Ovis aries: one gene and its partners. The protein of the gene in region 7 interacts with the protein of the main gene of each other region in a pairwise test. Links are inferred from orthologs where the notes say so. Each region holds a gene or a part of one and is shown on either strand. Other genes may lie near its edges.

Region 1 (4,562 bases), on a different chromosome or scaffold from region 7:
CACTCTCTGGGTCCATCCATGTTGCTGCAAATGGCATTATTTCATCCTTTTTAATTAGCCTCTTTACATTCCTGTTATCATTGCTCTATTTCACTATCATTTGATCCCCATGACTGAAAATGGTCTTCTGCACTTTGGTATCTCCACCTTGTCATATAAGACTTGATGCCACTCTTGTGATGGAAATCCTTTAGTGTCTTATAACCAAAGGTAAAATCCAAATACCTTAATTTGGGTGCTCATCTATTGTGTCAGCAGTATCTGTTGCCAGCCCCTTTGCATACCCTAAGCTACTGCCTTGAAATGATTCTCAATGCTTCCCAGGTGAGACAAACTCTCTGATGCTCCAGAGTCCTTGCAAGTTTTCCCTCTGCCTAGAATGTTGTTTTGGAGAGGGCAATGGCACATCACTCTGGTACTCTTGCCTGGAAAATCCCATGGACGGAGGAGCCTGGTGGGCTGCAGTCCATGGGGTCGCCAAGAGTCAGACACGACTGAACGACTTCACTTTCACTTTTCACTTTCATGCACTGGAGAAGGAAATGGCAGCCCACTCCAGTGTTCTTGCCTGGAGAATCCCAGAGACGGGGGAGCCTGGTGGGCTGCCGTCTATGGGTCGCACAGAGTCGGACACGACTGAAGTGACTTAGCAGCAGTTAGCAGAATGTTGTTTCCCTCATTTCTAGTTAGATGGACAATCAGTACTTACTCTTCAAATTCCAACTCATTTCCCCTGAAAGCCTGCGCTGTTTCCCTTAGACAGGGCTCCCTCCTCTTAACTTCAGTATCACTTTGAATATACTTGTGTTTGCATGGCTGCTGCTTCTCTAGATGTGGGCTCCTTGAGGGTAGGAGCTTGTCCTTTCCTGGTGATCACCTGGCATAGCACTTGGTATGTTGAGAATCAGACCGATCTACATGGGATTCTAAACCCAAGGCTATGTGACCTTGGTGTATTACTTAACTTCTCTGTGCCTCACGTTGCACTATCTGTAAAATAGTGCTAATGATGCTCAGCAGATTAATTATAAAGACTAAATAGCAAAACTCTTGTGAAGCTTCTGAAATATAGGTGGCACTTAGAATGGACATGATGCCTATATATATTTATTTATATATATTTGTTAAATGAACCCAGCAGAACTCAGGAAAGGTGTAATAATAATTATACACCGTCTAGGTGTCAAATACTGTCCTAGAAAGGGTTGTCATCTTTGTGGTCTAAATGGTAGTCTTAACTGTTGCTCTTTAAGGACAACGGTACTGAGCACCCAAACAGTGGGGCCTGTCATTTACCCGAGTCTTTGGTAAGGGCTCATTACAATGTCGCCCCCGTCCCTCGCTGATCTTAGCGCTAGAGCAAGATCAGGCGCCTTCAGCAAACCAACATGACTCCGGTGTACTCGACTCTGCTTGCTCTGCTGTGGTGGAGAGGAACCAGCACTCGGCCGGAGAGTGACCAGTTCTCAGCCCTGCTGGGTTCTCTTCCCACCAGCCGGCTGAGGTAGCCCCGCCCACCTCGCGCCCACTGGGGGCGGGGCTCAATACGTCGCGCTCTCGTCACTTCCAGCAGACCCGGAAGCGCCGTTGTCCCAGCCGCTAGAGTTAGGAAGTCGGGATGGAGCTACGCTCATCTTAAACCTTTGGCCTGTAGTGCGCCGGGGCCGGGCCGGTGCTGCTGTGGCTGGGTGAGCGGGGAGCGCGGAGCGGCTTCTGGGGCAGTGCGGGCGAGCCCTGGCAGTGTGCCCTTCTTGTGCCAGCGTCGCCCCGCCTCTAGGATAGGACCCGCCCCCGCCCTCCTGTCTGGGACCTGGCAAGCGTTTCTGCCCTGCTGCCCCGCCGCCCTGCATCCGGTCTCAAACAGCTGCTTGGAGCGGATGTGCGGCAGAGGGGGACAGCTATCTCCCCGTCGCATACAACCCCTGCTAGCATCTTCGTGACGCTCTCCCAGCCTGTCCAAACCCTGGCCTGGAGCAACCCGTCCTGAACCCTCATGGAGAAGTTTGGAATGAATTTCGGGGGCGGCCCAAGCAAGAAGGACCTGCTGGAGACCATTGAGACTCAGAAGAAGCAGCTCCTCCAGTACCAAACTCGTCTCAAGGATGTAGTCCTTGCCTATAAAAGTCTGCTGAAGGAGAAAGAGGCGCTGGAGGCCAGCATTAAGGTACTGTCTGTATCCCACGAGGCGGATGTAGGCCTCGCAGGTGTGCAGCCTCAAGGCCTCACCTTTCCTGACTCTGTGGATGACCGATGCTCCACTCACAGCGAGGATAGCACAGGGACCGCCGCCAGCCTGGATACTGCGGCCAGTATCACCAGCACCAAGGGTGAGTTTGGGGTAGAAGATGACAGACTGGCCCGTGGACCACCTCCTCCAAAGTTGGAAGAGGCCAGCGGGTCAGAGAGTGGCGTTAGCAGTAGTAGTGGGGACGGACCATCTGGGGGTGGGGAGGTGGACAAACGACTGCACCAGCTGAAGACTCAGTTGGCTACTTTGACCAGCTCTTTGGCTACAGTCACCCAGGAGAAGTCCCGCATGGAAGCTTCTTACCTGGCGGACAAAAAGAAGATGAAGCAGGACTTAGAGGATGCCAGTAAGAAAGCAGAGGAGGAGAGGGGCCGGCTGGAGGGAGAACTGAAGGGGCTGCAGGAACAGATAGCAGAAACCAAAGCCCGGCTTATCACGCAGCAACATGATCGGGCCCAAGAGCAGAGCGACCATGCCTTGATGCTGCGTGAGCTCCAGAAACTGCTGCAGGAGGAGAGGGCCCAGCGCCAGGACTTGGAGCTTCGGTTGGAAGAGACTCGGGAAGCTCTGGCCGGGCGGGCCTATGCAGCCGGTCAGATGGAAGGGTTTGAACTGCAGACCAAGCAACTGACCCGTGAGGTGGAAGAGCTGAAAGGTGAGCTTCAGGCTCTTCGAGATGAGAAGAATCAGCCTGACCCCCGGCTGAAGGAGCTTCAAGAAGAGGCTGCCTGCCTCAAGAGCCATTTCCAGGCTCAGTTGCAGCAGGAAATGAGAAAGGTAATTATCTTCATCTCTTTCAAACATGAGTCATTTAACTTAAAGTGGCTTCTCAGGTGGCTCAGTGGTAAAGAATCCATCTGCCAATGGAAGAGATTCTGGAGATATGGGTTTGATCCCTGGGTCAGGAAGATCCCCTGGAGTAGGAAGTTGCAACCCACTCCAGTATTCTTGCCTGGAAAACCACATAGACAGAGGAGCCTGGTAGGCTACAGTCCATAAGGAAGTAAAGAGTCAGACACGAGTCAGCACACACCACTTGTGACACATGGGGAAATATTAGTGTTTTTTTTTTTTTTCTCCTTTGACAGAACTAAGTGCCTGCACTGTTGGTTTTTTATGCGCTTCGAAAAGTTTCACTTGTGGGTCCTGAGAAATCCTTTTCTGTGTGGTGTTGACAGTATCCACAGAGTGCTTCCAACAGGATGTGGAGTTTCTGAGTGTAGTCTGAAGTTGGAGCTAGACAGATCTGAGTGTCAGGGCATGGCATCTTCCCAGCTGTGCTCTGTGAAGCAGTGTAGCAGCGGCTGTGCAGTGGAAGGTGGAGTGGGGGCTTATGGCAGTATGCCTATCTATGGGTAGCAGTGGATGCCTGTAGGTAGGGTGGCTGGAGGGGACAAAGGGAATTTTCATAGAAGAAATCACCTCTTCTATTGCTTGCAGTCAATATTTGCCATGTCTGGAAAGATAGGCTATTTTCCAGTGCCTCCTTTCAGCGTGGGGAGAGATCCAAGCCAACTCTGAACTTCCAGGAATGTTGGAAGAGGAAAAGAATGTAATATGGTGAACAGCACACTTACACGTGAGCTTGGTGTATGGGTGGAGAGAGTAGAAACACTAAAGCAGAACAGTAGCAGATCTCCAAAGACTCTTAATATCATTGGGTATAATGTGTGTCTGAGAGCAAGTTACAGGAGCTTGGGTTAGCTCCCAAACTCAGAAAGCTTCCCAGTTCCCATTTTTTTCCAGGCCACCTGCATCCCATAACCTTTTTGTCCTCCCTCTCTTGCTTTCTTAAAGTTGACCCTCCGACCCTGTGGCTTTTCTGGATGCATCTCCACCTGTTCCCTTGTTTTTTCAGACAGCCCTCGCTGAGGATCAGCTGCGCCAGCAGTCTCAGTTGGAAGAGCAGAGGGTGGCGGCCCTGGAGAATCAAATATCCCAGGTGTCGGAATTGCTGGGCACCTACGAGAAAGCCAAGCAGAAGGACCAGCTGGCCATCCAGAAGCTGAAGGAGCGCATTCTGCAGCTGGACCTGGAGAACAAAACCCTGGCTCTAGCGGCCTCCAGCCGGTCCCCCCTGGACAGCCATGGAGAGGAGTCCAGTCTGGATGTCAACGTCCTGAAGGACAAGATGGAGAAGCTGAAGAGGCTGCTGCAGGTGGCGGCCAGGAAGAGCCAGGTGACCCTGGATGTGGAGAAGCTCTGCGACCTGGAGATAATGCCCAGCTCCGAGGCTGCTGATGGGGAGAAGGCCACAGCGCTCTACTACCAGCAGGAGCTGAAACAGCTGAAGGAGGAATTTGAGAGGTACAAG
Region 2 (4,605 bases), on a different chromosome or scaffold from region 7:
AGCCTGGAGAGGTCCCTGGCAGAGGCTTTTTTGTTCTGGGGCTGGCGAGGAAGAGCTGCTATACAACTGAGGGGCTCTCTTGGCTCCAGGAGAATGGACCCTGGAGGAGGAAATTGTCCAAGCAGAAATAGATCCACACCGGGGTCTTCCTTCCTGTTACTCCAAAGGCACTGTCTGTGCTTCACCTGGGCACAAGAGTGCCTCTCTTCTCATCTTCCTGAGGCCATGGCTCTAGCAATTCCCTCCCCTGTGGACCCCACATCCATCTAACTCCTCGCCCATCTATCTTATCCTTTTACAGCAAAGTTCCTGAAGAGCGGTCTCTGCTCACTGTCTCTTTCTTTTCCTCGACTCCACCCCTCCACCGGAACAGCTTTTTCTTTTTTACATTTTACTTATTATTTTTGGCTGTGCGTTGGGTCTTCGTTGTGATATGTAGGTTTCTTATTGCACTGGCTTCTCTTGTGGTGGAGCACAGGCTCTAGGGTGTGTGGGCTCAAGTAGCTGTGATGCAAGGCATGTGAAGCTTGCTGGACCAGGGATCGAACCTGTGTCCCCTGCACTACGAGCTCAGAATCTTAACCAGGGAAGTCCCAGAGTGACTCTTGGCTGCACCACCTACAATAGACAACCAGGTTGTCAACCCACAGGTCTAGTCCATCCTCACGATTCAGTCTCTCAGCCGGACCAAAACGGTTGGTCCTTACATTTCAGACACGTTCTCTGGGCTCCAGGTCGCTGCCCTCTCTTGGTTTTTCTCCTACCTTACTAGTTGCTCCTTCTCTATGTCTTTTCCTAGCTCCACCCAGGCTAGAAGGCAAAGGGCTAAGTTCTAAGTTCTCTTCTCCACCTATATTGATTCTCTTGTTGATTCTATCCAATCAGTAGCTTGAACTGCCAAAGGACTCCCAAATTCCAGCCTTGTATGTCCGACTGCCGAATCCACACTGCCATGGGAGAGTCTATTAGGCCTTGCAAATGTAATGTTCCCAACTGAACTCATTGTCTCCCAGCACAGCTGGTCTGGGTAAAAAACTGACCCTGTCACACCCCCAAACCAAACCAGCTGCAATTTATCAGTTTGCCTTCAGACTCTCACCACCTGTACTGCTTCCACTCTGGTCTGCACCACCCTCCTCTCCTTTCCCCCGTGCCCTTTGCCATCAACACTGCAGCCAGAAAGTCTAAAATCTATAAAAAAAATATATATTCAGAGCATGTCACAAGTCTCCATTCTCAGTCACTAGACTTTATATGAGGGGCAGGTCTCCTTATCGCCACCCCACCTCCTGTCACCGCTGCAGGCACCCCGTCCCCCTGACTGTCCCTCAAACACACCAGGCAAGTTTTGGCCTCAGGGCCCTGTGGTTCCTAATGCTTCATAAGCTTTCCTCTTGATCTGTTTAGGGTTTGCTCCCCCTGCAAAAAGCCAATTTTAGGGAAAGAAACTGCTTTAAAATTTTTTTATTTGGCTGTACTGGGTCTTCACTGCAACACGCAGGATCTTTAGTTGGGGCATGCGAACTCTTAGTTGCACCATGTGGGATCTAGTTCCCTTACCAAGGACTGAACCCAGGCCCTCTGCATTGGGAGCTCAGTCTTAGCCACTGGATCACCAGGAAAGTCCCATCTTTAAGTGTTTATTCAAAAGGTACCATCTCAGTTGATGCCTTTCCTGACCATCCTAATTAAGACTGCAACCCTCTCTGGCACACCCCAATCTACACCCTTACTGTATTTTTCTTGTTTTCTACTACATATTTTACTTATCTTTTGCCTGTCTCTCTGACTAGAATGTAAGAATGTCAAATCCGTTACCGCAGGGATTTTTAAAAAATTTATTTACTTATTCTCAGTGTCCAGAACAATACTAAGCAAAGGTACATGTTCAATGAAAGAATGAATGAAAGCAGGTTTTGTATTTGGGTTTCAGGTAATGCCCTAGAGCAGGGTCTGAAGCATTTATGGGGGTGACCCTTAGGCCTATCTCCAGAGGAACATTTCCCTCAGAGGCGTCAGGGAACTGAGTCTAGTTTCAGAGTTGTTTAGCTAGGAAAAGGGGATATTTCCCTAATAGGTAAGAACTGCTCCAATCTTAGGGATATAAGCAGAGTTGTGTATCCCAGCCAAAGGGACATTTACCCAAGAGGTGGGGCTGGGGACATCACCATCCATCTGAGAAGTAACTATTTGGATAAAAGATCTGCCACCGGGCTAGGGAGTACACCAGAAGTGGTGATCTGACAGTCCACTGGGTATTTATGCAAACAAACAGGTTTGCCTCAGCCTGGGATGTATGGACCCAGGGTGCGTGTATGGGAAACCGGAGAGGAATCCAGTCAAGGGAGACCCCGGGGTAAGAATATTTCCCCTATTCTGGAGTATTCATTCTTTAGAAGCGGTCTGCCCTCTCCCATTCTGCGTACTTTAACAATCTTCTCCTTGCTAGTCTGGAGGGAGAGATATATGTCTACCTGCGTATACAGTAGTGTCCACCCAGGCAAGAACTGCACTAGTTCAGGAGAGATTTTTACCAGCTAGCGCGATACATTGTAACCGCCCCCCGCCCCACCAAATAATACAACCTAGTAGTTCCTACCTTGCAGGAAAGAGGCAGAGCCATCAGGCCGGGACAACAAGTTCTGTTCGCAGGCAAAGTGCCGGAGGCTACAGCCGGGGCCCCTAGGGCCGGGCTCTGTCCGAGAATCAGCCCGAATCTTCGATTCAGTCTGCATTGCCCCCTCCATAGCCCCGGAGCCCACGTGCAGCCGGGGCTTGTTGCTTCCTCCCAGAAGCGCGCGCTTGCGTACGAGGTGCGTACGCTGTACGCACGCGCCGACCCGGGGGCTCCAGGAGTGGCGCCCGCACGTGGCTCGGCGTTTACTAACAATCTGGACCCTCCCACTCCCGCCTCGAAAGTCCAGGAAAGCCATTGGACAGAAGAGAAGAGTGGGCGGGCCTTGGCATGAGCTCGTCCTACCCGAGGCCCCCGGCCCTGAAACCCTGAGGCTCTGGACGGGTTGTCCTCTTCTTTGCCGGTTACAGGAATAACTAACGTGAGGCGGTCAGAGTAATTTTGGGAAGTTAGGTGGCTTTATGCACCTACATGTGTGTCCCAGAGGCTGCAGAACTAGTAGCGTATGGTTTCTTGGCAGGGTGTTGCTGGCATTTGAGTCAGGCTTATGAAGGGGCAGCCCCGGTCTCGCCGAGGAGAGGGGCGGATCTCCGAGGGATGGTCAGCCAAGATGGCGGTGGCGGCTGCGGCGGCGAGGGTTTGGAGACCAAGTCGAGGCTTGGGACGGGCGGGCCTCCCGCTCCTGCGGCTGCTTGGGGCTCGTGGGCTGGCTAGATCTGTGAGTACCTGGAGCACCTGAAAGTTTTCTCGAAAGAGGTATAGGAATGTTTATGCAGTCTTCAGAGAGAGGGGGTTCCCTTAGGTCCCTGTAGGAAGTGAAGGAAGGGCTGTGAGAGAAAGGACGAGGGCTGGGAGAACCACTTGGACAGGACATGCAAGGGAATAACTTCCACTTCCTTAGGAGAAGAAAAGCCAGGCAGCTCCTTTGTGACCCTAAGGGAGGGAGAAAACTTGGAGAGAGCGAGGTAGTTACTTAATTGCCGCCCATCCCCAGGGGAGGCCGCTTGGAGAATACGGGAGAAGGGTGTGACCTCTCCCCTCAGGAGCTGGAGAAAATTGTGTTTGTAAGGGAAAGACTTTCTTCTCAATACGGTCTACTTTCAAGGAGGAGGAGAGAGACATCAGTTGCCCTTTCAGGGACTTTTATGGTGCCCCGTGTTTCTTTGCTCCAATTCTGATTTTTAAATAAACTGCGTTAAAAAAAAAATCTTTCTGGGACTTCCCTGGTGGTCCAGTGACTGAGACTCCGCGCTTCCAATGCAGGGGGCCTGGGTTTCATCCCTGATCAGGGAACTAGGTCCCACGTGCCGGCAGTTAAAGAGTTCGTATGCTGCAGCTAAAAATCCTGCATGCCATAACTGCAAGACCCAGTGCAGCCAAATAAATAAAGATAAAATACTTATAAAAAGTCGTGGCGCCTGTGCCTCCGGTATAGAACGGTAGCCAAGGACCTTGTTGGTTTTGGTCACTCTAAGGCGGAGGTGATCAGTGAATATTTGTTGAACTAATGAGGGGAGAGGTCCTGGCAGAGCACTTACTCCATATTTCTGAGAAACAGTGGAGAAATGCCTTGTTTCTTGTCAAAAGGAGCAGACTCCTTTTAGATTGATGCTGCTAATGGCATGCTCGCACAGCAGAAATGTAGATGGGAACCACTATTTAGAGAGACAGAGGCAGGGGACTTGAGAAAAGCTGTGAACTGAGATTTTGCATATAACAGAGTAGTGGTTAAGAAGATTGGCTCGTGCTAAATCATGTGAGGCGGTGTTCTGTAATCTGCCTTTTTCTAGCTCTGTAGCTTTGGGCAAGGGACTGCTCTTCTCTGGACCTGATTTTCCTCTCTGTAAAATGCTAACAATGGTCACCTCATAGAGTTGTTGTGAAAATTAAATATGTAAAGTGCTAAGAACTGGATCTGGCATATGATGAGGGCAATTGGAGTGTTAGCCACTGTTGAAAGTGAGGTTGGA
Region 3 (3,924 bases), on a different chromosome or scaffold from region 7:
TGGAAGCATGATTTCCAGAAAGTGACCTTTGGTTTTTTTGGTCTCCACTTTAGCTGTATGTGCGCCGAGTATTCATCACAGACGATTTCCATGATATGATGCCCAAATACCTGAATTTTGTCAAGGGTGTTGTAAGTATCTGGAGGTTATTCGGGGAAGAGGGGAGTAGAGTGGGGGTCTGAAAGTGGGGTTTTTTTGGTCGGTTGGTTGATTTTGTTTTTCTCTGATGTTTGTATTGCCCACTGAACTTTTGCTGTCTGCAGGTGGACTCGGATGATCTCCCCTTGAATGTTTCCCGTGAGACTCTTCAGCAACATAAACTGCTTAAGGTGAGTGCCTTAAAAATGTTCAGACATAGAAGTTGAAAAAGTGTCCAGTGAGCACCCATATATATGTACCATCTGGTCTAAAGTTAGAATATAAACATGAAAGCAATCTTGTAACTGCTGCCACTGACAACTTAAGTTTCCATTCAGTCTGACACAGGAATACTTGGCCATCCCCTGCCCCCTTGATAAATACCAGTGTCTTTGTATCTTTCTCCACTACTCCCCTGCTACCTTATATAGTATAGGTTCTCTAAAGTTTGTGGTGAAGTTCTCTAATGAGTTATTCTATCGTTTTGTTTAGGTGATTAGAAAGAAGCTTGTCCGTAAAACTCTGGACATGATCAAAAAGATTGCTGATGAAAAATACAATGATACTTTTTGGAAAGAATTTGGTACCAACATCAAGCTTGGTGTGATAGAAGATCACTCAAATCGAACACGTCTTGCCAAACTTCTTAGATTCCAATCTTCTCATCATCCAAGTGACATGACTAGTCTAGACCAGTATGTGGAAAGAATGAAGGAGAAGCAGGACAAAATCTACTTCATGGCTGGGGCCAGCAGGAAAGAGGTGAGAAAACTTCGACTGGTCTGCTATGTAGCTAGGGATTGATTTATAGCCAACTCTTGAGAGAGAAAAAAAGGAAAATTTGTAAACTGAAAGAGTTCTGAGACCTGGTCAGTCACTGACAGGAAAAAAGTCATTTGTATTCTCTGCATCTCTTAATTCCCCACCCATAAAACGGGATTGTTGGTACTCTATTAACGTACCTACTTGGATGAAGAAAACATACTAAGCCCAAACTGGAAATTTGTGTTATTTCTTTCAATTTTGTAGGCCGAATCTTCTCCCTTTGTTGAGCGACTTCTGAAAAAGGGCTATGAAGTGATTTATCTCACAGAACCTGTGGATGAATACTGCATTCAGGCTCTTCCCGAATTCGATGGGAAGAGGTTCCAGAATGTTGCCAAAGAAGGAGTGAAGTTTGATGAAAGTGAGAAAAGTAAGGAGAGTCGTGAAGCAGTTGAGAAAGAATTTGAGCCTCTGCTAAACTGGATGAAAGATAAAGCCCTCAAGGACAAGGTATTCTAGAAATTAGAAACACTGAAAATTTTAGCGTCTGTGTATTGTTTTGTTAGCAAATTAAACTTTGTAACTGGTTACTTTTGTGGTCATTAAAAGTTATACAGAACACTTAATACTGTTACATTATTGGGAGGACAAGCTTAAAATTTAACTGAACAATTACAGGGATATGTGATTATTCTGTATGTAGGTAACTTTTTTTTCCTTTGTAACTGAAAGTTTTTCATAATTTAATATTGTTTTTACAATAGCTTAAAATTTTACAGGTTAAACTTAAGTTGTATATGTTTTTGAAAGTTTGTGTTTAAGTATTTGTGACTAAGAAATTCAGTTATGAAATGATAGTTTTCCTAAGAATCTGAATGAGAGGTACTTTTCTGATCTGCTTGTTTGTGATTTTAAGTGATGAGTCCTTAAGGAATTGAAATGCAATTACTTGACAACCTTTACTGTTGATATTTAGAGATAACTAACTTTCTCTTTCTCCTCCAAAGATCGAGAAGGCTGTGGTGTCTCAGCGCCTGACAGAATCTCCATGTGCTCTGGTAGCCAGCCAGTATGGGTGGTCTGGCAACATGGAAAGGATCATGAAAGCCCAGGCATACCAGACAGGCAAGGACATCTCAACCAAGTAAGCATCCTCAGGGAAGGCCCTGCCAGGATGTAAGCTCTCGCCCAGCCTCCCATTAGAAGATAACACAGCTTCTACACAAAGAACTAATGGGTTTTAAGTGTCTACCACCCTCCATTATAGAGAAGCTGACAATATGATTAGATTACTAAAGAAAAGGTTTTGCACTTGTGGTTTATATTTAGTATTTTGTATATAGATGGAAATTTTCTTATCTGTTACATATAATGTCTTTCAGCATTAGATTTTCTGCTTGGCCTAGTATCTGGACTGCCTTTACATTTTCAAATAATAGTTAAAGATGAAGTTAATGACAGTTACATTTCTTAAATGAGTTAAATCCTTTTTAATTACCCCTTCTACCCCCAAGTAGTATTCTCCACTAAATACAGGGTAGAAGATGCACAAACAGCAATTGAACTCAAGGACCAAGTACTGGAGGTACACTAGGTCTTTGGTACCCTTTATTTTTAAGAAATATGTATTTCAGGTTTATATTTGAACATAACAACAATAGTTTTGAAAATGACTTCTTCCTTGCTTTTATTCTCTCTTCAACCTGGACTATCTTCTTACTACCTACCTATTGTCACTTTTTTCCCCCAAGCATAGCTTAAGGATTCTTCTCCTAAGTGTAGGTTACATTGTCATAATTCTATCTAATAAACATTTGAGCACCTAATGTGTCTATTTACTGATGCTCTACAGTAAACATCACTACTCTCTTTTGCAATGTTCAGACTAGTCAGGATAGAGAAATCAAGGCATAATTCTGTAAGTCCTGTGTGTATGATAGGTATGCCAAGATATAGGGAGAAGGGTTCCTTCTGTCCTCAGCCTGCAGCTGTAGGAAGGAGGGCAGTCACGGAGGACAGCTAGGATGCTAACAATGATGAAGGTACACCCAAAATGTATTGCCGCCAAGCTTAGTGAAAAGATGCCATTTTTCTTGGAACCATATTGGTTGAGGCATCATGGAGAAGGTGTTACTTGAGCAGCACCCAGAGCCTGTTCTGTTCCAGAACTCTGGGGAGACACAGCTGCAGTTATGATAGTGAATACATTAAGAGGGGAAGAACAGGACATTAAATCAGTTCATCCACTCATCAAAAGGCACTTGGGATTCATTAGGAAATAAAGTAGTTCTTTATTGTACTATTTGATCTAACCATGTACATTGCCCTTTAAAAGGGAAAGCGTGATTTAACAATATATAAGCATGTCTTGATTTTTAAAAAGTTATCTGTAATTATATGTTATACTAGAATATGGGAAATGTATGGACCCTCAAATTTGATATATTAACGTTCATTTTTACTCTGTAACAGTTATTATGCCAGCCAGAAGAAAACATTTGAAATTAACCCCAGACACCCACTGATTAGAGACATGCTTCGAAGAGTTAAGGTGAGCAATATCACGGCCTTACTCCTTTTAATTTGACTTCTTTTGACCCTTTAGTATTAATAAAGTGTGTGACTCCTTTCATTTCAGGAAGATGAAGATGACAAAACTGTTTTGGATCTTGCTGTAGTTTTGTTTGAAACAGCAACACTGCGGTCAGGGTATCTTTTACCAGACACTAAGGCATATGGAGACAGAATAGAAAGAATGCTTCGCCTCAGCTTAAACATCGACCCTGACGCAAAGGTTTGATGTAACTTACTGAATGTTTGAGTCCTGGTATCAGGCACTGTGCCAAAAATGAATGAGAAATTTCCCCTTTTGCATCTATTTTCTTTTCTTGCCTGTCTCCCTTTGTTAGCATGACTGTTAACTCTAATTATAGGGTTTCCTCTATAGTTTTGTAGTTAACAGAATTAACCGAAGTGAAGTTAATTATGATCTTACACATTTAAATGAACAAAATGAACACA
Region 4 (3,924 bases), on a different chromosome or scaffold from region 7:
TTGAACAGACTCAGGGAGATAGTGAAGCACAGGGGAGCCTGGCATGCTGCAGTCCATGGGGCTGCAAAAAGTTAGACACAACTGAGCGACTGAATAACAGGAACAAACTCGTTCTCTTGTTTGTATCTACTGGGGCTGTGGCACTACAACAACAGAGCTGAATAGCTGTGTCAGAGGTCACATAGCCTGCAAGGCCCAGGCTGCTTTTTACCTGGGCCTTCACAGAAAGTTTGAAAACTTCTGTTCTAGTCCAATCCACCTCTCTAGCCTTGGCTCCCACCTCACTCCATGGACATACACCTTTTGTTCTAGTCATAAATGGATTCATTCACATACTGTTTTTCCTGCCTTTACCCTTTGTTTTAGGTCATTCCTTTAGTTTGAATGTTCCTTCTTACCCCTTTCAAGATAAGAGAAACCCCATCTTTCCTTCAGGACTTAAACTCCATATAGTCCAGCAAAGATCTTAATTGCCATAACTAAAAAATACCTATCTCTTCTATTTCTTATAATATCTTCTAGACTACTTATGCTAAAATAACAAAAAATAGATACAACACAATATACTTCTCTTCCTACCTAGAATGTAAACATAGGAAACAGTGTCTTATTCTTTCTATCTTTTAGAGTAACAAGCCCAGAACCTTACACTTAGTAGTTGCAATTCTTAATAAAATTTGATATTTTTGAAAAAATTATGTTGGTGATACATGGGGTTTAACTGAGTAAAGAAGCTATTCGTTTAATAAGGGTTGTACAATCGTAAGCTAAAAATACACATAAACAACAAATTGATTTTACTCTCTGAAATTAGACAAATTTTATGGCAATTCCTAAAGTGATTGACAGTATACCACAAGCTATGTGTTAATATTTTTTAACCTCCAAATCCAAATCTTTTCACCATGAACTCACTGTATCCGGTTACTTTTCTCATTTCTTATTCCAAAAATTAGGCTATTTCTATGCATGTATATCATCTTTCTAGGATAAGAGGACAACACGTGTGTGTACACATACACAAATACTTCATATTTCATTAAGAACATCATAAGAACAAAGGTAATTCCCAAATGTTAGATTAATTTGATTAATAGATTTAAGTATTCTCACAGAACTTAAAGAATTTACCCATCTCTAGGAATTAAATGCTGGCTTCCCAGGTGGTCTGAATGGTAAAGAACCCACCTGCCAATGCAGGAGACATAAGAGACATGGGTTCGATCCCTGGGTCAGGAAGATCCCCTGGAGGAGGGAATAGCAACCCAGTCCAGTATTCTTGCTTGGAGAATCCCATGGACAGAGGAGACTAGCAGGCTACTGTCCACAGGGTCACAAAGAGTTGGACACAACTGAAGTGACTGAGCACGCACAAACACGCACGCAGAACTGAATGCTAGTACTTACATATCTTGTTTACGTATAAGTAAGCTTACCTGCTCATACAGAAGAAAGGTCTTGTCTCTCTCGGATGTGAGAACCTTGACATTGCCCTGAATTTCTGCCAAATGACGCTCATATTTTTCCAGCATGCATTTGAGTTCTTCACGGTCTCTTGTTGTCTTCAGAAGCTCTACATCACAGTTTGTACCCTATAATTATTACATGAGAAATCTGAATACAAGGTCCTTCCGTATACCACAGGTAAACTACATTCAATATCCTATGATAAGCCATAATGAAAAAAAAAACGAAAAGCAAAATATGTATGTATAACTGAGTTACTTTGCTGTACAGACTGAAATTAAACACAACATTGTAAATCAACTATACTTCAGTAAAATTTTTTTTTAAATGTGAAATTCTTCTTTGATATGTGTTATTAATATAGTCCATGGGGTTGCAAGGAGTTGGACACAACTGAGCAACTAACACACACACACACACACACACACACACTAATAGAAATGTCCTACTGATGGCAGCACACAATTTCTGGTTAAGCAAACATGATTATATAATGAAATAATGAAAAAAAAATTTAAAAATCACTTCTCTTTTAAACAACATCATCCCAAATTGCTCCACATTTGTCTGATTACCCTCCAACCACTACTAATGCTCGGGATAAAGGACCAATTTTGATGGTCCATGGTGCCACCAAAGAAAGCTCCATCTCCCATTTTCCTTGAGATACCAATTCATGCCAAATTAAAAGGAATTATTTCCAGATTAGGTGAATCAAAAATAAAATCCACTGCTTCAGCAACAAATTCCAAAACATTTACAAGTTTCCAAAAACCTACCCGAGAAGATGGAGATGGGCGTCGTGGGCTTTTAGATCTACTTCTGATCATCTTTCTCAAATTTTGAGCTTCACTCTTGTAGTAATCTCTGTCTGCTTCTAAAGTTTTGACAAAGGAATCAAGTCTGGAAGGAGATTTATTTTGTGCTTTTTCAGTCTCTAAAATTATCTTGCCAAGGAGGAAAAAATTAGGCCATTATTTCAAGCTAAACTATATTATCATTTTCTAAATGAAAGTTGAAAGCAAACAGGATCCTTAAAAATAATAAATTTGGTATTTTGAAATAATTCAAAAAATAATAATTCAGCAATACTTTCTAAAAAGCAGTTAGAAAAAAATTAAAAGCATTTAGATGCCTTTCTTTTCCAGGATTTCTGAATGTACTGTATTTTTATTTCACTGAAAATGTCCCTATGTTGACACAATAATTTTGAAGAAAAAATTTCAGAGGCCAGAATTGTTTCTTATAAGAGATCTAGTTATAAGTTCTAGAAATAAAATTAATTTGCTAAGAGAAACTTGTATGCTACTATTAAAGCATCTATTTATAGTTTCAAGTTTTATTCAATAACTGTTCAACAAATAAATTAATTAAATGTTGGATTAATTTAATAAATTTACTGAACAAAATAAACCGAATAAATTAAATGAATGCAGGATATTCTATGTTTGTATATACTTTCGTGCATTTCCATTCACTTTAATATATTTAGAAGCATCTGTTTTACAACATTTATTTAACAATACTTTATTGGGATAAAAGTACAGACATACTTTTAGAGAGGGTGTTTCAAATATTTTAAGCGACAACATTAAAATGCCTAAACAGAGCGACTTTCGTTTCACATTGTTAAAGAGAACATATTACTCAGAACTAAGTAACAACATTTGACTTTAAAATATTTATTATTAAGAGAGATGAGAGTTAATGTGTAAACAAATACAGCTTACATTTTGAGAATTAAATTACTCACAGACATCATTTTAATCAAGTAACAGCTAAGGACATTAATAAAACCAAGCAAAAGTTCTCTCCAGCTCTAAGAAAGGACAGACTAAGGAAAGGGAGCAAGAACAGATTCGTTCTTACAGATGGGAGGACCCTTGTCCACCACGGAGAGTGCTGATTTTAGAAACAAAACACTTCTTATTTTTCACAAATTACATGAGAGCCAAAACATATGTATAATTTTTTGCAGTCCTACGAACAGAATGAAAGTGATTCCTTAACATTTATTTATGAAAAATGTACTTACAGATCCAAGCCTTTTTACTGTATCTTCCAATACTATTATATTATTTTGCTGGCAAATGAGTTCAATCTGAAAAGCCGGAAAAAAATGCTATTTAGGTGGAAAATGTCTAAATTGATTTGTTGGAAAGAGAGCATCAGAAACAGAAGTCACTTAAAAACATGCAGACAGTAAATATTTTATGAGAGAAAAGATAATTTATTCCTTTATATTTACCTACTTTTGATGGTAAAAGAACCTAGAATGAAATGAAGCAGTTCCTTTAATGTTTTGTACAAAATACTAATTGATTTCATTTTGTCAAACTACTCCTCATAAACTGAAAGAAAATGTTAATACTAATTATAATTCTGAAGAAGAGAATAAGGAAGTCAAAAGAATGACTAGAATGAAGTTAAGTTTTCCCAAGTCAGAAATGATTGCTC
Region 5 (4,687 bases), on a different chromosome or scaffold from region 7:
GACGTTTGCTCTGCATCTTCTCTGCCCAGAGCAGTCATCTTTTTCCAGGTTCCATGGCTGACTGATCTTCTCACTCTTCCTTTAAAGTTCTTACTCCCTCCCTATCTAACTTCACCCTCCAATTATTCTCTATACCCACACCTTGTCTATTTCATTCCTTGTGATGATTTGTTATTATTTTATTGGCTTGTTTACCTGTTCGTCTTCTCCCTCTTCCTCCTCAGGTAGACTGGCAGCTTTATGAAGGCGACTATCATGTCTATTTGCTTCAAGATTATATCCCAGTGCCAGGTATTCAAAAGGTCCTCCCTAAACAAATATCAATGCCTATACTTGTCAAATGAAAGAATCAACATTCTCAATGAGAATTTCCTGGCTGTTCAGTGGTTAGGACTCTCCGACAGGGGTTCCATCCCTGGTCAGGGAACCAAGATCCCACAACCTGTGGGGCGCCGCCGAAAAAAAAGTAAAAAACCCAAAAAACATTCTAAAGGGATCATGAGATGTCTGCCTGCTCAGTCAGGAAGAACGATGTACTGTGAATGTTTCAGAGAATAGCAATGAAACCTGATGCCTTTCAATACCTTTGCCCTGAAAAGTGCTAAGTGCTGGCTTTCCGTTCTCGCTCCTAGTTGTTACAACTACCGCTCCATTGCCCCAGGCGACACAACACCACCTCTCTTCAGTCCTCTGACGAGGTACCAAATTTCTCTTCCACTGCCAAGGCGTTCCCTCGTTGGTTTGCGCGCCATGGCCTTCGAGAGGGCGGACATCTCCATAAGCCACGACTGGCCCAAGTCGACGTCGCTCTGCTGTGAGCTACTGAAAGTCAGCCAAGTCAAACTGATCTCGCGGGGAGGCACGGTCCTGTCGGAACCTGTGATTGGCTGAGACTAAGGGCCGGGCCGCGGGCGCGCCGCCTCGTGAAGCGTGGGTTGGTTGGAGCTGCCGTCAGTCAGCGGGAACAGACTTCCCCTCTCTATCTGACCTACTGCGGGTGAAAAATTCTCAAGAATTTCCAGCAGATTGAGCCAGTGGCTGTTCTAACTGCTTGCTTCAGAGATTGAAAACATCGGAGAAGGCAGTCTTATTTACAGAAAACCCCTCTCCTGCCCTCCATTAGCTAATTGAACATTTTCCAGGGATATTGCCATCACGAGGTAAGAGCTTGGAGAGTGCACTTCATTTATGTTAACCGTTTATAATATTATTTACAGGAGGGGGCACGTCCCATTGCTCCCCATCTGCGGAATGGAGAGTAAACGGATTTCCCAGGGAGAGGAGGGGAAATATCGGTTTAATTTCTCCAGCCCCTTCAGTGCATGCCCAGCGGTCACTGTCTGGGTTCGCTGTGCGCAGCTTTCTTCCGTCTCGAGGTCTGGAGCAGCATGTCGGGGCGGGGCCCACCTCGGCTGAGCCACCCGCTGCTGGCATTTTCTGCGGAGATTTTACGTTCCGCCTGAACTTGGCCGGAAGGCTGGAGGCTCTTGCCCGTGAATGTGCTGGACCGGGATGGAAGGAGGGAATGGAACTTGGAAGGAACGACGGCTGGCGTGCTGCAGTCCATAGGGTCGCAGAGTCAGATACGACTGAGCGACTGAATTGAACTGATGGAGGGGAGGAAGGGGCTCCCAGCCCACGCTTTCCTTCAGCGAAGCCTCGAGTCGCGGGCTGGAGGATGCTGCGAGCGTCAGCGCCTCCTCACCGCTGCAGCACGGGTCGGGTTGAGGGAGACGTGGCGACACCCGGAATCTGTACGCAGCGAGGGTGGTTGAGAGGCGGAGACCGGGCGGCGGAAAGTGCTGGAGGGAACCCAGCCATCAGTGGCTGCGCCCGCCTGAGGGTGTGCTTCCTGCCTTGTTTCGCCCTGGTCATGCATCTGTCACGGCCGGCCAGCCAAGCCCAGGATCCCAAACTGTCCAAGGGTGAGCTTTTCAGGGGATCGGAGCAGAGAAAGATGCAGAGCCCTGGTTGGTGTCGATCTGAGGACGTGGGTTTTGCTTTGCCAAAAGAGCGCTGTAATCTCAAGGCCTTCTGGCCCTTGATGACTTTTTTTTTAGCAGCCACTGTCTGTAGGTTAGAGATTTCACGGGAGATGACAAAGGCGAGACTCCGGGTGGCACTAGCCAGGGAATTTGGAGTATCTAAAGCTCCACCGGCCTTTCTGAGCTTCAGTCTGGAAATGTGCAGCAAGGCCTCTTCAGTCTTTTGCATCCCCTTTGCTTGTGCGGAGGAAAGAATGAGGTTGTCCGCCGTTTCAGAATGATTAATTAAGGTGACAGATTATAATGGTCTTGAAAGATAACAGTGGCGTCTTAGCCTAGGAAAAAAAATACTCCACTGTGTAATAAAATACATCAGTTATAATTTTTCAAGATTTTTTTTCTTGCAACCTTGCTGCTGCTGCTGCTGCTAAGTCACTTCAGTCGTGTCCGACTCTGTGCTACCCCATAGACGGCAGCCCTCCAGGCTCCCCCGTCCCTGGGATTCTCCAGGCAAGAAATACTGGAGTGGGTTGCCATTTCCTTCTTCAATGCATGAACGTGAAAAGTGAAAGTGAAGTTGCTCAGTCGTGTCTGACTCTTGGCGACCCCATGGACTGCAGCCCACCAGGCTCCTCCATCCATGGGATTTTCCAGGCAAGAGCACTGGAGTGGGGTGCCATTGCCTTGCAACCTTAGTCACTTTCTATTGACCACCAACTCAAGCACCTACTTGACTGGAGTCTTAAGAGGAAGGAAGAGGGGAAAGGTGTTAGTGATGTAGCATAGAATATAAAGGAAAATTCTCCTTTTAAAAAAAAAAAGACTAAATTTACTGAAAATTTAATGTATAGATGTCAACACTGTATTAGGTACTATAGAGGAAATGAAAAATACACACCTTATACTTGGTTGTTCTGGAAAATTCTTCTTAAATGAGGTTTGGAACATGGTTCTGTGAGTTGTATCCACGTTAACTGAAATGTTTTTAAAAATATTTATGGGATTAGAGTAATGAATACTTTTCATTGTTCCCTTGTTCTTTTCTCTGTTTGCACATCTAAACATATGTTCAGGTCAAACATAAGGGGAGTCATTCGGGGTTTCTCTTGTTGGTTTTGTTTTCTCCTTCATTTAGACTAGTACATTTTCTTTCCCTTCCTCCTAGCAGGGTACTGATAAAGAGGATACTGGAGACCAGAGGTTTCCATAATATTTGAATTTATTGGGATAAATTGTTTTTTTTTTTTTTTGTAGAGTCATTAAAGAAACATTTTAAGAATATTAAAATTACCTGTGTTTCCATTGTGGAAATTATTGATAATGAAGATACCTGAGTGCCGCTTTATAATCGGCAGATATGAATATGTCCTTAAACATTTTTGCTAGAAATATAAACCTAAGCAGGTTTGAGCAGTACTGATCCTTAGAACTCCTGAGTAATTTTGGCATGTGCTTAACATGACATCAATAAACTGCCCTTTTGACCTGCTTTCAGCAGTCAAGAGCAGTTTAACTCAAATCCCAAGTGCACCCTCCTGCCAGGGACCATGAGTGCCTCCCTATTCCAAAAATACATTTAGCCAGCTCTGAGGTATTTAAATCATTGCAGGATTATAAAATTGGAGTAAGATGAAAGTATAAAATTGGCATAGCAGTCTTGTAGTGGTATATGTGGCTTTTCTTCACCACTCAGTTCAGTTCAGTTCAGTCACTCAGTCGTGTCCGACTCTTTGCGACCCCATGAATTGCAGCACGCCAGGCCTCCCTGTCCATCACCAACTCCAGTTTACCCAAACTCATGTCCATTGAGTTGGTGATACCATCCAGCCATCTCATCCTCTGTTGTCCCCTTCTCCTCCTGCCCCCAATCGCTCCCAGCATCAGGGTCTTTTCCAATGAGTCAACTCTTTGCATGAGGTGGCCAAAGTATTGGAGTTTCAGCTTCAGCATCAGTCCTTCCAATGAACACTCAGTACTGATCTTTAGGATGGGCTGGTTGGATTTCCTACCGCTATTATTTTTAAACGAAGTGTATACCTCAGAAGTTTACCAAATGCATTTCCTACACTCTGGCTGTGGCTTTTTAACCAGCACTCTTTTGTGGAATCTCAATGTCTGCTCTTGTGGACTCTCAACTTATTTCATTTAACTCTCTTTTCTGAGAATCCCCCCTCCTAGTCAATATTATTAAATCAGGAGTCAACTTTGTTCAGTAGAGTTTTGTGTCAGAATCTGATACTTTAATCAGATTAACCAAAGCATGGATTCAGAGGAAGATGAAGGCCTGGTCAAACAAATGAATGTGAAAAAGGAAAGTGTTTTTGCTAGTAGAATATGGTGTGCCACGTAATGTGTTCTTGGGCTGTTGGTTCATTTAAATTTTGCTTTGACATTTTGTGTCTTCAAATGGCTTTCAAGCGGAATTACTTGTGCCCTTTGACTCTTTTGGGTTACTTTGACTTTCAAAGATTGTATATAACTGTTAAAAGGAAAATAAACTAGACTTGATCTCTGATTGAGAGACTGACATAAAGTGTTCCTGAATAACTATTTTTGGCTTGCACAATGACCAATGACACATGACATGTGACACATGACAATTTTTAATTCCTCAACTGACAATAAAAGATTTTTTAGGTATTTATCAATTTGTTCTCCGCTCTTTCTGTTATAAAGAACACTGATTTTTTTTTAAGACTTTT
Region 6 (4,541 bases), on a different chromosome or scaffold from region 7:
CAGCATCAGTTCCTGATGACTCTGGGGGCCTGAAGGAGTGCTCTGAACAGACCTGAAGTCTGATTCCAGCGTGACATCTGGGCAAGTTTCCAGTCCGAGCCTGTTTGCAGCTATAAAATGAGGAGAGAGAAGCCTGCCAAATAAGATTCCTTCAAGCCTCTGAGTGAGGCAGCACTCAGTGCCGCCTCCTAACTTCTGTGACCGAGGACTAGAGAAGACAGGAGGGATGTGTGATGCAAGCGGTGGGGGGGGGGGGGGGGAGTGAAAAGGGACGATTATAACGGGAAGGTGATGCGAGCTATATCTGTACACTATGGCTGAAGCAGTGACAAGAATACAGAGAGGTGTAAATGCCAGGGTGGGAGATGAGAAGCAGGGAGAGTGGGAAGAAAGCCTGGGCCCAAAACGGAGTGTCCTTGTCCTGCCTGTCATGCTTTCTGGGATCTCAGCATGACAGTCAGCTTCTTGTACACACTTTCCCTTCTAAGATGGTGATCCACAGAGCCTTGCTGAGCTAGATATGGCAAGAGTAATAATAGCAGGTACCGTTATTGAGCCAGTCTGGGGAGTAGGTTCTCTCACAGCCACACTGTGCAGTGTTTCTGAGAAGAGTCCAGAGCCCAGGGGTTGGTTGGTAACCTGCGCCTCCGTCATTAACTGCTTTTGTACTCTGTCTCTCCAATGAGATGGTCAGCTATGGTGGAAGCAGATTGTTGTCTTTTGTCTCCCCTCCTGTCCTTAGCATGGTGCTCTGAATGTTGGTGTTTGGTAAACATTTAAGGAAAAATAAATGTATTATTCTGGAGCACAGCCTCTTCTGTTCATTAAGTGTTGCCACTGACCTAAATGTTCTTTCCAAGACAAGCATGGACGGCTCCTTGAGAGTGCTGACTTTGAGAGTCCTGTAGGACTGCTGCTTCCTGCCACAAAATAATTGGGCTAAAAAGATGTAAAATTATTAAATATAGGGCACTGGGGTTATTCCCATTTGACAGTTGAAGGTGAGGGTCAGAGAGATCACACCGCTTGTATATGGACTCCGGGTCCAGTGCTCCTTTCATTCCCCTGACTCGCCTCCTGGCCGACTGAGAGGCCAGGCTCTCACCATTTGAGGTGGGTTGAGGAGGGCTCCCCTTGCATCCTTCTGCGCTCCCATCCGGAGCATGTGCTGTGATTTCTGCTTGACCTGGTGAGTGCTGGCCGGCAGCGAGGGCATAAAGATAGCTGGGTGAGCAGGTCAGATGCTCCAAGAGGGAGGGGCCGACTGGCAAGCTCCTCTGGTGCCCGGCACTTTGCTGGGCACAGTTAAGGCCTATGTTACCCGGGAAGGAGGCATCCTCGCCCCCTTTTTCTACCCTGAAGCCGTCCTTCAGCCGAAAGCTGTTGGGAGTGGCGAGGAGGGCCAGGGGAGCCGGCTTTTCCCCCATCCTCAGCTTGAAGTTGGTGGGCTTGGGCCCGGACACCCCGAGGACGCCATGCCCACGTCGGGGCAGGAGGGCGGGCGTGGGGGGGGGGGTCGAGGGGGTCCCCGGCCCTGGCCCCAGCGGACTTGAGAGTCCGAGAGGGCGGGGCCGGGGCGGCAGCGAGCGCGCCGGGGGCGGGCTTCTCGGGGCGGGCTCCGCCCCCAGCGGCGCGGGTTTAAAAGGAGGGAAGGCACGCGCCGGGGACTGGAGCCAGCGCAAAGTGCACCTGAACCGAGGCGTCGCCCGTGCCCAGCCATGACCCTGCGGGCGAGGGGTGCTCGGCTGCTCGGCGGCCTCCTGCTCTTTGCTCTGCTCGCGGCCGGCGCCGCCCCGCTCGGCTGGGATCTCCCGGAGCCCCGCAGCCGGGCCAGCAAGATCCGAGTGCACCCGCGGGGCAACCTCTGGGCCACCGGTGAGTCTTCTGGGTTCCGGCGAGCGCTCCCCGCCCCTCCCACCTTCCTTCTCTGGCCTCTCCTAAACAGGGACACTAGTGTCCAGGCTAGTGGGGACCCTGGAACTCATCTAGTAAGATGGGGGAACTTGAGACCCAGACCCAGTGACTTGGTTTAAATCTTTCACTCAGCCGGTTTAAAGCAGAGCTGAGGCTGGACCCTAGAGCTACCTGCCAGCCTGTTTCTCTTCCCTTAGACAAGACTGTACTGAATCTTCCGACCTCTAGTGTGTCTTCTCTCTGCACCTCCACCTTACAGACACCTCCTGTCCTCACTTCTTTCTCTGCTGTTTCCCGTCTCTCTCCTAAGCAGACAGCACAACTGGCAGAGTTTCTTCCTGGCCCTTGGGGCCTCCCACCGCCCCTTCCAGCTGTGCCATCCCCGCCACCCACCTCTACCTGCTCCGGAAAAGCTGAGGTGCAGGTTTTGCCACCACTGGGGGTTCTTTGTGGTTTCTGGTGACCAGGAGGAGAAAGACTGTGTGTATATCTTCCTGCAAGGAGAACTGAGAAGCAGGAGAGATGGGGACTTGCCCACTGGGATAGCATCCTTGCTCCCTGACTTCCCTGTGCCTTGGCACTTCCTTTCTAGGTCACTTCATGGGCAAGAAGAGCCTGGAGCCCCCCAGCCCATCCCTACTGGGGACAGCTCCCCACACCTCCCTGAGGGACCAGATACCACAGCTGAGTCATCATCTGCTCAGGGTCCTCCTGCAAAAGCAAGCTCTGGGCATGAGCCTCAGTGTCCCAGCACCTCACACCCAGGTAAGCCAGGAGAACTCAGCCAGGGCTCCCCCTGGATCCTGCGTTGGGCGTAGGGTGTGAGTGCCCAGCCAGGGCAGGAGAGGCCCAGGAAAGCCAGGGATTCTAGGCTCTCCCTGTGATCCAGAGCTCAAAGTGGGAGGATTCCAAAAAAAGGGAGCTGACCTTCTCAGCAAACCCGAAGGGACAAAAAAAGTAGGGGAAGACGTTCCTCCTTACCCACTGCCCAGTCTAAAGGTGCAGCCTGGACTTATCCAGCTTCTTCCAGCAGGACCTTCCCACCCCACCCTCACCCTCTGGTCTATGCAGACTTGCCCCTCCCCTGCTGTCCACCTTTGCTGTGCCCTGTATGTGCTTATTGGGACCCTGGTGCCCACAGAAAGGATGAAGAGAGTGAGTCAGCAGCCAGGGCCAAGTCTGGACCTCTTTCACTTTGATCAGTGCTCTTCCCAGTTTCTCATCTGCCTCAGTGACCACTGGCAGGGTTTCTCAGCCCCAGCCCTCCTGCTCTTCTGGGCGGGACAGTCCTACATTGTGGGGGCTGTTCTGTGCATTGTAGGAAGCTTAGCAGCCTCCCTCTCTGCCCACAGTTATGACGACCAACAATGCTCCCAGACACTGCCCGAGGTCCCCTGCTGAGGGGTCATGGGAGGGAGCCAAAATTACCCTTGGTTGTAAACCACTGACCTATGGGGTTTGGGCTAGGGGGGCTTCCAGGTGGCGCTGGTGGTAAAGAACCTGCCTGCCAGTGCTAGAGATGGAAGAGATGTAGGTTCGAAGGTCCCGGAGGAGGGCATGGCAACCCACTCCAGTGTTCTTGCCTGGAGAATCCCATGGACAGAGGAGCCTGGCGGGGTCCATGGGGTCCCAGAGAGTCAGATACAACTGACGTGATTGAGCACACACAGAGGGTTCAAGGCTCCAGAGCTGGAGCCAAGCCAGCCTTTGTCTCCAGCCTGGCGGAGGGGCAGCTCATCCATTCTCTGCTCCTGGCACCTCCCCATCCCACAGACCTTCCCTGGTACTTTGTTGCTCTGTGAAGAAGGTATAATAAGGTATAGTAGAATGTGGACTCTGGTGACAGCATGCTGGGCTCATAATCCAGCTACTTGGTAGCTGTGGGACCTTAGAAATGTCATGTAGCCTCTCTAAGCCTCATCTTCCTCAACCCTAAAATGGGAATAATAGTGTCCCACTTCCCTTAAATGAGACCATTTATGTCACATGCTGAGCGTGACGCCTAATGCATAGAAAACATTTAGTAAACAGAAGCTGTTACCAGTCTGTGAGCTCCCTGGCTGTGCCGGTGGCTGACTTAACTGTGTGTCTCCCACTGTGCCTAGCATATACTGTGTACATTTTGAAAGAATGGAGGGACATTCCCTAAAGAAAGTTCATCCGCAGTCCCAGTCAACCTTGACCCTCCTGATGCACAGAACCACCAGCCTGGTACTCCTCTGGCAGTCCAGTGGTTGAGACTCTTTGCTTCCCCTGCATGGGACACGAGTTTGATCCCTGGCTGGGAAGCTAAGACCTCACATGCTGCACAGCCCCTAAAGACCTCAGGCGTAAGGGCTACGTACTCAGGCTGGCTGGGTCTGAAGGAAGATGATGGCCCCTCTGGGTCCACTGATCTTGAAGGCCTGAAACTTGAAGACCAACTCTAGAATCTCAGAGGCAGCAGTACCTAGCCCTGGGGGGTGGGACTTCAGAAGTGAGGTCTAGGGCGGAGCTGGAGGTTGGGGAGTCAGAACAGTGTCTGGCCCAGGGTCAGGCCTGGTGCTTCGACTTAATTTCTAGGATCTCCGTTGACTGTCATGACCACTCTGTGAGGTTGAGGAAACCCCTGCCCTGACCCCTCCCAG
Region 7 (3,924 bases):
AAGAGAAGAAAAATTTCATGTAAAGGATTTTTGCTGTCAAAAAGTAAAAATCACTCATGCACAAAACTACCTCCCAAAGACTTGTCCTGGATCCCTCGTATCGAAAAATTAAGAGTGTGATGGAAGATAGCACAGTCTTGTCAAATTGGACAAGTGGCAACAAACAAAAAATGACATACGACTTTTCATGTGAGCTCTACCGAATGTCTACATATTCAACTTTCCCCACCGGTGTTCCTGTCTCAGAAAGGAGTCTTGCTCGTGCTGGTTTTTATTATACTGGTGTGAATGACAAGGTCAAATGCTTCTGTTGTGGCCTGATGCTGGATAACTGGAAACAAGGAGACAATCCTATTGAGAAGCATAAACAACTGTATCCGAGCTGTAGCTTTGTTCAGAATCTAGTTTCTGTTACTAGTCTGGAATCCACTTCTAAGAATGCTTCTTCTCCAATGAGAAACAGTTTTACTCACTCATTATCACCCACTTTGGAACATGGTAGATCATTCAGTGGTTCTTATTCCAACCTTTCACCAAACCCTATTAATTCTCGAGCAGTCGAAGACTTTTCCCCACTGAGGACTAACCCCTACAGTTATGCCATGAGTACTGAAGAAGCGAGATTTCTTACTTATCAAATGTGGCCATTAACCTTTCTGTCACCGTCAGAATTGACAAGAGCTGGCTTTTATTATATAGGACCTGGAGACAGGGTAGCCTGTTTTGCCTGTGGTGGGACGCTAAATAACTGGGAACCAAAGGATGATGCTATGTTAGAACACCAGAGAAATTTTCCCAACTGTCCATTTTTGGAAAATTCTCTGGGAACGCTGAGGTTCAGCATTTCCAATTTGAGTATGCAGACACATGCAGCTCGCCTGAGAACATTTATGTACTGGCCATCTACTGTACCAGTTCAGCCCGAGCAGCTTGCAAGTGCTGGTTTCTATTATGTAGGTAAGAGAATGTATAGCTGTATGTTTTATCTAGTTCATTTTGATTAATATATTAGAACACGTGTGTATTCAGTTATTCTTGTGTTTTCTTTAGGTCGCAATGATGATGTCAAGTGCTTTTGTTGTGATGGTGGCTTAAGGTGTTGGGAATCTGGAGATGACCCATGGGTAGAACACGCCAAATGGTTTCCAAGGTAATTGTTTTGAAAGGTATTTGTATATACAACTCTGTGTGTAAAAGATGTAGGCATGTTTGTGTATTTTAAGTTTACATTTCAGTATAAGAAAGCTTCTTTATACCATTAGAGAATTAGCCTTTTAAGACACCAAATTGTAACAGTTATTTTGGTAGAAAAATGTAGAATATTCTGTGATTTTTTTCTTTTATAAACCATGTGTTCAGGATATAATTTAACTTATTCTTGATGCCTCATTCACAGTTGTGGCCATACATTACATTTATGTATTTTCCATTTTGTTTAAAGTATTATAAAAATATGTAAAGTAGAGCAAAAAGGCGATACATTAGGAAAAGATAAGGAAAAAGAAAAACAAGGGACATTAAATGAATCTAGGAATAGGACAAATATAAAAATGCATATAATAAAAACCTAATTGTATAATCAGTTTTAAGTGATTATAATTGTAAATTATTTTTTTCTGTACAGTTTTATCTTTTTGTGATATGTCATGTATCTCTCTTTAGTCACTCTGTTTCTACCAGTATGTCCTATTTTTTTTTTTACTATAGCCTGGAAAGAATTTAGAGGCAGTGCTGTGGGTGGAATGTTATTGAGTAGTTGTATGAACTTGGACAAGTCATGTGACCCCTTTGAGCCTTTCCTCATCTATAAAATGAGGAATTTGGAATAGGTAATACTGTCTTTTTAAAAAATTATAAAATGTACATAACATAAAATTTGCTATTTTATCCATTTTTAAGTATACAGTTTTGTGGCATTAAGTACATTCACCTTATTCCTCATTCATTACTACTGTCAATTTCCAAACATTTTTTATCTTCCCAAACTGAATCTTGTATTCATTTCATTAATTCCTTATATTCCCAGCCCCTGGCAACCACCATTCTACTTTCTGTCTCTGTGAATTCAACTATTTTAGGTACTTTATAAGAGTGGAATCATATCATATAGATAATGTTTCGACTGGTGAGTGACTTTCCTAATAATGAGGAATCTCTAAATTTTTTTTTTTTAGGAAAAATCATGTTTTATTGTCATAATTGTATTTATTTTTGGCGTCTCTGTGTGGCTTCTGGGATCTCAGTCCTTATTCAGGGATTGAACCTGGGCAACAGCAGTGAAAACACCAAGTCCTAACTACTGGACCACCAGGAAATTCCCAGTTGTCAGAATTTTAAATGACTTGATTGTCCTTGGCTCTACGAGATTGGCTTATTCTGTAATTTGGAATTTAATACTATATTAAAAAGACAAAAACAGCTTTCTGATTAACAGTGTTTCATTTGCTATAATTTTTCCTTTAGAAAACAAGACCAAACAAAATCTTGGTTTACTTCTGTAATTAGTGTTTTGCTTGAAATGGTTACATAAGGGAAAAGGCCAGAAGTACTTTTTGTAAACACTTCTGAAAACAACAAATTTCAATTGTGGATAGTCTTTCATCTCAGAAAATGAAAATCCAAAGTGGATAATCATTATCATTGTATTTTTAACACAGTTTATTTATTCACTTATTAAATATTTGTATGCCTACTAGCTACTATTTTACTTCTGTTATTTCTCTCTCTTTTTTAAAAATTATTATTTTTTCTTTTTTTAAAATTAATTTAATTTTATTTTTTTAATTTTAAAATCTTTAATTCTTACATGCGTTCCCAAACATGACCCCCCCTCCCACCTTCCTCCCCACAACATCTCTCTGGGTCATCCCCATGCACCAGCCCCAAGCATGCTGCACCCTACGTCAGACATGGACTGGCGATTCAATTCTTACATGATAGTATACATGTTAGAATTCCCATTCTCCCAAATCATCCCACCCTCTCCCTCTCCCTCTGATGTTATTTCTCTCTTAACATTTTTATTCATAATCATTCAAAAGAATTTCCTTTTTCATAATTACTAATATTTACACGACAGTGTGGAATCAAATGAAAAGTCAATCCAAAGCAAAACGAAGAAGAACCAAATTAAAGAGAAAGGCAAAAATTGTGGTACTGTTATTACATATGAGGTTGAAACTGGTAGATAAAGGCTGATTTTGCAGCAGACCAGTAAGAATACTGGGATCCTGTTGATTGAGCATGATAATTCATGATAGTCACAGCATTATCTGGTGGCAAGAGTCTTAGGAATAAGTAGTTAGAAGTAACAGTGGAAAATCATGATGATCTTTTTTTCCCCCTTCTAATATCATTTTTTAAAAATTGAAATACAGTTAACATACATAATATGTTTCAGGTGTGCTGTGTCCTGATTTGATGTTTGCATATATAATGTTGTTACCATGATAAGCCTAGTAACCATCTGCCCCTATACAGTTATTGCAATATTGTTGACCATATTAAAATTTTTTTTTTTCTTTGAAGTATAAAAATTGCTTTTGGCTTCCCTTGTGACTCAGACAGTAAAGAATCTGCCTGTAATGCAAGAGACCTGGGTTTGATCTCTGGGTGGGGAAGATCCCCTGGAGAAGGGAATGTCTGCCCACTCCAGGATTCTTGCCTGGAGAACTCTATGGACAGAGGAGCCTCGCGGGCTACAGTCCATGGAGTTCACAAAGACTCGGCCACGACTGAGCGACTAACACTTCAACAACAAAGTCATAATTGCTTCTAACCACATTGTTTTTGCTGTATGTATATTATGTCCCCATGGCTTATTTATTTTATCATTGAATTTTATATCTAAATCACTTTCACCTATTTCCCTATATGCTTGTGAATACTACTTTAGATGCTGGAGATATTAACAGTGAATAAGAT

Evidence for each region.
Region 1: the proteins of BIRC2 (region 7) and GCC1 interact in binary tests that used the Homo sapiens proteins (3 or more experiments, as listed by UniProt). The two-hybrid records come from large-scale screens. The link is inferred for Ovis aries from reciprocal best matches to the Homo sapiens genes BIRC2 and GCC1.
Region 2: the proteins of BIRC2 (region 7) and EXOSC5 interact in binary tests that used the Homo sapiens proteins (3 or more experiments, as listed by UniProt). The two-hybrid records come from large-scale screens. The link is inferred for Ovis aries from reciprocal best matches to the Homo sapiens genes BIRC2 and EXOSC5.
Region 3: the proteins of BIRC2 (region 7) and HSP90B1 come close enough for resonance energy transfer, tested with the Homo sapiens proteins (2 studies listed by BioGRID). The link is inferred for Ovis aries from reciprocal best matches to the Homo sapiens genes BIRC2 and HSP90B1.
Region 4: the proteins of BIRC2 (region 7) and TSGA10 interact in binary tests that used the Homo sapiens proteins (3 or more experiments, as listed by UniProt). The two-hybrid records come from large-scale screens. The link is inferred for Ovis aries from reciprocal best matches to the Homo sapiens genes BIRC2 and TSGA10.
Region 5: the proteins of BIRC2 (region 7) and PPM1K interact in binary tests that used the Homo sapiens proteins (3 or more experiments, as listed by UniProt). The two-hybrid records come from large-scale screens. The link is inferred for Ovis aries from reciprocal best matches to the Homo sapiens genes BIRC2 and PPM1K.
Region 6: the proteins of BIRC2 (region 7) and NMB interact in binary tests that used the Homo sapiens proteins (3 or more experiments, as listed by UniProt). The two-hybrid records come from large-scale screens. The link is inferred for Ovis aries from reciprocal best matches to the Homo sapiens genes BIRC2 and NMB.

The regions. Positions count from the first base shown.
Region 1 is NC_056057.1:93,527,570-93,532,131, reverse strand, and holds the start of GCC1 (GRIP and coiled-coil domain-containing protein 1), read left to right. Parts: upstream 1-1,571; 5' UTR 1,572-1,993; coding exon 1,994-3,025; intron 3,026-4,106; coding exon 4,107-4,562. UniProt on the Homo sapiens protein: Probably involved in maintaining Golgi structure.
Region 2 is NC_056067.1:50,093,006-50,097,610, forward strand, and holds the start of EXOSC5 (exosome complex component RRP46), read right to left. Parts: upstream 2,935-4,605; 5' UTR 2,934-2,934; coding exon 2,600-2,933; intron 1-2,599. Other genes in the region: BCKDHA (2-oxoisovalerate dehydrogenase subunit alpha, mitochondrial), read left to right, coding at 3,246-3,353. UniProt on the Homo sapiens protein: Non-catalytic component of the RNA exosome complex which has 3'->5' exoribonuclease activity and participates in a multitude of cellular RNA processing and degradation events.
Region 3 is NC_056056.1:173,219,541-173,223,464, forward strand, and holds part of HSP90B1 (endoplasmin), read left to right. Parts: intron 1-53; coding exon 54-131; intron 132-263; coding exon 264-329; intron 330-630; coding exon 631-900; intron 901-1,167; coding exon 1,168-1,413; intron 1,414-1,910; coding exon 1,911-2,047; intron 2,048-3,375; coding exon 3,376-3,454; intron 3,455-3,541; coding exon 3,542-3,697; intron 3,698-3,924.
Region 4 is NC_056056.1:102,212,772-102,216,695, reverse strand, and holds part of TSGA10 (testis-specific gene 10 protein), read right to left. Parts: intron 3,569-3,924; coding exon 3,503-3,568; intron 2,415-3,502; coding exon 2,247-2,414; intron 1,593-2,246; coding exon 1,437-1,592; intron 1-1,436. UniProt on the Homo sapiens protein: Plays a role in spermatogenesis. When overexpressed, prevents nuclear localization of HIF1A.
Region 5 is NC_056059.1:37,114,150-37,118,836, forward strand, and holds the start of PPM1K (protein phosphatase 1K, mitochondrial), read left to right. Parts: upstream 1-1,804; 5' UTR 1,805-1,873; coding exon 1,874-1,925; intron 1,926-4,687. UniProt on the Homo sapiens protein: Serine/threonine-protein phosphatase component of macronutrients metabolism.
Region 6 is NC_056071.1:21,629,130-21,633,670, reverse strand, and holds the start of NMB (neuromedin-B), read left to right. Parts: upstream 1-1,669; 5' UTR 1,670-1,718; coding exon 1,719-1,875; intron 1,876-2,506; coding exon 2,507-2,679; intron 2,680-4,476; exon of another isoform or gene 4,477-4,541. UniProt on the Homo sapiens protein: Stimulates smooth muscle contraction. Induces sighing by acting directly on the pre-Botzinger complex, a cluster of several thousand neurons in the ventrolateral medulla responsible for inspiration during respiratory activity.
Region 7 is NC_056068.1:6,039,763-6,043,686, reverse strand, and holds part of BIRC2 (baculoviral IAP repeat-containing protein 2), read left to right. Parts: 5' UTR 1-56; coding exon 57-957; intron 958-1,050; coding exon 1,051-1,150; intron 1,151-3,924. UniProt on the Homo sapiens protein: Multi-functional protein which regulates not only caspases and apoptosis, but also modulates inflammatory signaling and immunity, mitogenic kinase signaling, and cell proliferation, as well as cell invasion and metastasis.